2 linked regions of the Nothobranchius furzeri genome follow. The protein of the gene in region 1 interacts with the protein of each later gene in a pairwise test. Links are inferred from orthologs where the notes say so. Each region holds a gene or a part of one and is shown on either strand. Other genes may lie near its edges. The genes, in order: tsnax and gadd45ga.

What was found.
Region 2: the proteins of tsnax (region 1) and gadd45ga interact in binary tests that used the Homo sapiens proteins (3 or more experiments, as listed by UniProt). The two-hybrid records come from large-scale screens. The link is inferred for Nothobranchius furzeri from reciprocal best matches to the Homo sapiens genes TSNAX and GADD45G.

Annotation. Positions count from the first base shown.
Region 1 is NC_091752.1:2,307,019-2,309,673, forward strand, and holds the end of tsnax (translin-associated protein X), read left to right. Parts: intron 1-1,414; coding exon 1,415-1,536; intron 1,537-1,616; coding exon 1,617-1,994; 3' UTR 1,995-2,155; downstream 2,156-2,655.
Region 2 is NC_091757.1:52,117,831-52,121,532, forward strand, and holds gadd45ga (growth arrest and DNA-damage-inducible, gamma a), read left to right. Parts: upstream 1-1,411; 5' UTR 1,412-1,626; coding exon 1,627-1,679; intron 1,680-1,785; coding exon 1,786-1,887; intron 1,888-1,984; coding exon 1,985-2,195; intron 2,196-2,307; coding exon 2,308-2,421; 3' UTR 2,422-3,032; downstream 3,033-3,702. UniProt on the Homo sapiens protein: Involved in the regulation of growth and apoptosis. Mediates activation of stress-responsive MTK1/MEKK4 MAPKKK.

The sequences.
Region 1 (2,655 bases):
CACTTTATCAACATGTTCTTTTATATGGCCGGACATATAGAATAGAATAGACTTATTCTATTAGACATATTTGCAAACACATAGAGACAATTGTGCAAATAACAGGTAAAGACATCCAGAACCCAGCTGTTGCAGAGGCAACTAACTGGTGACTCCACCAGCCGACAGAGTACAGGCTGTGTTCTTAGACGACAGGTCCGTCACCTAAATGTTTCCCAACAAGAACAGAACCAAACTCTAAATGGAACACGTGAAACGTTTCCATTGCTTGGTTCTTTTCTAAAAACATTTTAGAAAAGATTTGTTTTTACATTTTAAGCTGACAAGTTTCGGCTAACACTGTAGCTTCCTCAGAGCACCACCACTGGTTAGGCGTCACTTCCTTCTCCTTTTATCTGCGGGCAGCAGAGGACATCCTTCCAAGCAATGGAATTTGACGGATCACACATAACGAATGTACAAACGATGTGAAACAATTTGCAAACGTAATGGAACATTCAGTCTGTTACACTAGGCAGCGTACTCTGGCTTCACTTCCTGTTCAGCTGCTCCAGGTCGAGAACACACGATTCATGCACATAGAGAGGTGTGTGCAGAGAGGGGAGGGACGCCAAAGGGCAGTTTGATTGATGGATCAGGATCCATTAATGAAGAACGTGATGTTCACAGTGATTGGATGAGGTTTTTCAGGATTCTACATTTCAGAGGTCATTAAAATTATTCATTTTTTGGGGAAAATAGCTACCTTTAATCATGACATACTGAATGAGCTAATTAATCTAAACAGTGGGGAATAATTCATAATGAGCAAAACTATCAAAGTAAACAAACATCAGTCTCTGGTGTTTAGATTAGAAAACCAGTTAGGTTTCATTTTAAAAGGTCTAATTGGGTCGACCTTTTTGAGCGTAGTTGTTAGTTTCGTTTGTTTTGACTCGAGTACGTGCTAAAAGGAGACTCCTAAGTGACAGATAATCAGGAGAGAAGTGGAGATAATGCTTCCTACAGTGCTCTGCAGCACCTTGGGACCAGGGACATACCAGAACCGGCCCTTTCAAGTCCAGCTCCAGCTCCAAAAGTAAACTTCAGACACGACCGCTTCCGTCCTGTGATTATTTGATTATTGTTTACTCAGGAGCTGGAAACAAATGAGGGGTCGTCGTAGCATGACACACACATGCTCGCGCGCACACACACGCGCACACACACACACTGCTCTTCTACAAAGCAACAGAAACAGGAAAAGGTTTCTTTTTGAGGGATTGTTTTCAGGTAGCGTTTAAAGCTCATCATACATGGTTGTATTTTGTTTTGTTTTTTGAGGACAAATGCACGATCTGTGTTTTTGGTAGCAGCTTTAAAGATGAAACAGCTTTTTAATGTGATTTTACTCTAATGGAGTTTCACATTTCAGGAATTCAAGAATATGTGGAGGCCGTCTCTTTCCTGCACTACATCCGTCATCGCAGCCTCATCAGCCTGGAGGAGATCAACGCCAGGCTGGTGTTCATGGGGACAGAGAAGGCGGATCCGAAGGTGTGCCTAAAGAAAACCTCGTCCTGGAGTTGTCTAGCCTCTGAGAAAAACTAATTTATCTTTCTGTGTTTTCCCTTCAGGGTTCTGCTGAAGCTGCACCGCGAGGAACTCACGTTCTGACTTTCCAGGTGACGCCAGCGGACTACCTGCTGGGCGTGGCCGATCTGACGGGGGAGCTAATGCGCATGTGCATCAGCAGCGTGGGCAACGGCGATATAGAGACTCCCTTCCAGCTGAGCCAGTTCCTGAGGCAGATCCACGACGGTTTCTCCTACATCGGGAACACGGGTCCATACGAGGTCTCCAAAAAGCTGCACACGCTTCGCCAGAGCCTGGGGAAGGTGGAGGATGCGTGCTACACCCTGCACGTCCGCGGCTCTGAGATCCCCAAGCACATGCTGGCTGATTTGTTCTGCAGCAGAACCACCCACATGGACACAGAGGAGGGAGTAGTGTAGCTCCACACGCTTCACTAGTGCGTTTTGTTGTTTTAGGGTTAGCGTTACTCCATTTTTCGTTTTTACTACAGTAGCGTTGTTACAATAGAAGTTTTTTTTCATAATAATCTGATTACTGCAGTTGTGTTGCATGAATAAAAGTTCTGTGCCAAACTTTAAAATGTTTGGATTGTGTGTGTTCTCTCTGCCCGTCTCTCCCTCCCTCCATAACACACACAGGTAATCCACGGTGAAACTATTGGCTGCCGGCTCCTGCTGCAGTCTGAGACCACGAGCATGCAACCTTTGTACATCAACAGGCCCACACTCAAAAAACAACCCCCCTGCTTCGTAGCTTCTATCCTCGTTAAACCCTCCTCCCTCTGCAGCGGTTTGTGATAACGGTAACGAGCGTCTGACATCAGCACGGCGCAATTTACTAATCGTTACTAAACTTGGAGGGTTTTCCATTTTGAGCAGCCTGTTTAAGGTTAAAGGTCATACCTTCAAGATGTTCTGCTAGAGAGCAGAACTTAAGGTTCAGTCAGTTACAGCAAGTGGTCCAGGTCCAGCCCCACACCATCACACTACCACCACCATGTCTGACTAGCTATGATATTTTAGTGTTAGATTTACTCCAGACTGAATTTTGAGTACTTTTCAGATTGGCCTTAACTAAGGT
Region 2 (3,702 bases), on another chromosome or scaffold:
CAACACGTTTCAAAATGTAGCTATTTTGCAGAAAAAGTATGTTGAGATCTTAGTTACGTATCTCACAGGAAAGTGTTTTTCTCCACATTTCTTTTTAACTTCATGTAAATGCATTCATATGCTTTGGTTCCACATATCACATTACGCTACATTATCACAGAAAAACAAGTTCTTATGACTGCGTGTTCTGCCATTAGCGCGGGGGGGGGGGGGGGGGGGGATTTGGCACTGGCCCACCCTGGACCCCTTCTAGAACTGCCCCTGCTTTAATGCAGTATTGGTGACACACCAGATGGAACAAAACACATCTTTCCCAAATTTTCTGGGGATCAAGTAGCTTTATATTTTTGTTAGATGCACTTCCCCTCACAGAGAGATTTAAAGGTTAAAATCTTGTTTTTTACCCCTCTAAATTTGAATTACTCACACATGATACTTCAGTTATTAATAATAATAATAATAAATAACTGCTGCTATTGTAGATAATAGACAGGACCAAGTGCCCCTTTCTGAACAAAACAGCATCTGCTTATGATGTTGAATGCAAACACCGATAAGATAAAATGGTCAAGAAATGCTACCGGCTGCGGCACGTGGCGTTCCTTTGTAATTATTCTTTTTTAGGAGGGGCTCGGGCACATCTGTCGAACATCTGCTGCGGGTGGTCACTTAATGGCAATAAAGATAGCGCGTGGTCGCACAAAGAGCGCGTGCACGCACTCACACAACACGCTGACATGCCGGGCAGGTGGATCGTTGCGTGAGCCTGGCTTTGTCTCCAGAGGGAGACGACACGCGTCCCGCGGCGTCGCTTTCAACGAGCGAACAAAATAAGTGGCGCGTGCCCGGCCACAGATTACTGCGTCCCCCTTCTTCTGGACACTTCAAGAAGTATTTATGTAACTGATAGAGTCAGAGCGAGCTCCTCGGAACAGAACGGGGTTGTTCTGCAGCTGTAAACAGAGAAAGGAGCGGGTTGAGTAACAGGATTGAGCTCGCGCGCGCGCGCGCGCTGGTTTATTAAAGGGAAAGGCAATTAAATCAAACTTCCCAGTGATTCCCAACGCTGGGAAAGCGATGATGTTCATCATTTGTTTAATTGTGTTGTTTCGTGTTCGATCATTTCATGCTGCGCAATGTTGGCTCGTTATAAATAAAACTCACACAAAGAAAGCAGGATTCCTGGTAGACGGGAGTGTAAATAACATTTAAATCAATAGCGTGCAATCCCAAAAACAAATCAGTCAAAGGACACATCAGTGACTGTCCTGTGACTTACTGTGGCCACCGCAACCAGGACTTGTAGTTTTTGTACATTGTGGTGATGTTGGATGTTGACAAGACAAGGAGGGGTCGGTGGGGGTGAGGGGGATTTCTTGAAACGGTGAAATCTTGCCCCACGTGGGGTTGTCAACAGCTCAAAGTGGTCCGGGGACTTTTGTTGTACTGCTTCCAGCCAATCGTTGGAGTCAGGAGCAGAAAGACCCGCCCCTTGCCGAGAAACGACGCCAGCCAGCCTTTAAAGCCACCTCCAGCCGCGTCAGAGACCAGAATAACGCCGGAGACGCAGACACAGCACACACGGCTCATTTTCTCTCTTCACCGAGCGCTTGGATCTTTATCGCTATGACTCTGGAAGAGATCCGCGGACAAGAGAACACCATGGAAAACGCTGATAGGTAAATATCTCTCGCCTCTTTTTAAAATGTTACTTAAAAGGCAGGAATATTGAAACGGTTTCATTTGAACGCCCGGTCCTGACGAGATGCTTTTGTCTTTGTTAAGAGTGCAAAGTGCAGGCGCAGCCCTGGAGGAGCTGCTGGTCGCTGCTAAGCAGCAGGACTTCCTGACCGTCGGAGTTTACGAGTCTGCTAAAGTCATGAATGTGTGAGTATCGCGACTTTTCCCACCGCTTTTGCACGTTTGCTGCCAATCAAGTGTGACGGGGTATCATCTGATCGGCCTCCCTCCTCCTCCTCCACAGTGACCCAGACAGCGTGGCATTCTGTGTCCTCGCCACGGATGAGGAGTACGAGTGTGACATTGCGCTTCAGATCCACTTCACCCTCATCCAGGCTTTCTGCTTCGATAATGACATCAACGTGGTGCGCGTGAATGACATCGAGCGCCTGGCGGACCTCGTGGGTGCAGACGAGAGCGGCGAGCCCAAGGACGCGCACTGCATTCTTGTCACGGTGCGTAAAACCCAGAAGCTTGCAGCCAGTGACTCATGCGTGCATGACTCTTTTGGTCGGACTCTTGTGTCTGAAGGTGGCTCTAAACCGTTTTTTGTTTTGTTCATTTCAGAGCCCCAGTGCAAACCCATGGAAAGACCCTGCTCTGGACAAGCTGAGTCTGTTCTGCGAGGAAAGCCGCAGTGCATACGACTGGGTGCCCACCATAACCCTGCCAGAGCGCTGAGGTGACGTCACACCAAAACGCTGCTGATGAGGATCGTGAAAAAGAAAGTCAAGAAGTTGACCTTCAGCTGAGCGACTCGAGGAGCCGTGTGCGTCTGGATTAAGAGGCTCTGGCTGCATCCCCAGTCTGCAACCCTTCCAGAGCGTTCTGGGTCGGCGAGTTGGTTCTGGATCACCCCCATCCCCCTGTGATGATGGGGCTGAAGTTCTGAGATCAGTGTCGACTGAGTCAAATGGCACAACGCTTTATGGACACTGAGGAGGAGGTGGACTGTGCTGGATGGTGACCCTGTGCTGCCCCCATGTGTGGAGCTGAGCAGCGGGGAGAGGTGCAGTGGAATTCTGAAAGTGGAGACCGACTGGATCTCACTACAAAGGAACAGTTCCGGTTCAGAAGATGAAAGTGTCAAAGTGGAATCTTTCTTTTTGAGCGCAGCTATCAGGAACTTCTTGGAATAAGCAGAGACTTTGCTTGCAAATCCTGATAAGAGCTGTGAGACTCTTGTGGACTTCTTTACACACTATCATTATTGTTGAATGTGCATACTGAAGAACGCAACATCCGTTTGAATTGTACTGAAATGCTTTGTGAATAAACATGTAGAATCAAAACTCCTGCTCCTTTTCAAGTTCTTTAAGTTTCTTCTCTTGAGGCGAGCTGACATGCAACCGATTGTGAGGATGCAGAGAGCGTCAGGAAGTGTTACTGGTTCAGTTTCAGAAGAAAAGGGAAAATTTAGGCGGAAGGAAAGTAGCGATCAACATTAAAACATGGCTGAAAGCACTGTTTCCAGGTATTGACCTTTAACCGCACACATGCACCACAAACCACATTAGACACCACGCAACAATAAAGGTGAAAAAGATGTCATGCAGCAGGCAGTGAACATGTTTATAGACCCCCAGAAGCAAGCACGTGTGTGTGAAAGAGAGAGAATCTGCACAGAGCTGTAAGAGAATGAGGGTCACTGAGGGGAAGAAGTGCATGCATGTCAGTGTGTGTGTGTGTGTGTGTGTGAGTGTGTTGCGGTCGGTCCAGAGCAGAAACTGACAGTAATAGGTGGCCCACATCAGAGAGATAGCAGACTTCAGAGAAGCTCTGTTTGATTTTCTTGGCAGGGGACCTCACTCTCAAGCCAGCCGCTGGCCACAGCCTGCTGCACGAGCACACAGGTGCATGCAGGCGAGAACTGACACCTGTGTGTGTGTGTGTGTGTGTGTGTGCAAAAGCATGTGCAGTACAGACAAAAGGAAGGGACGCTGTGGCTTGCAGCTCAGACAG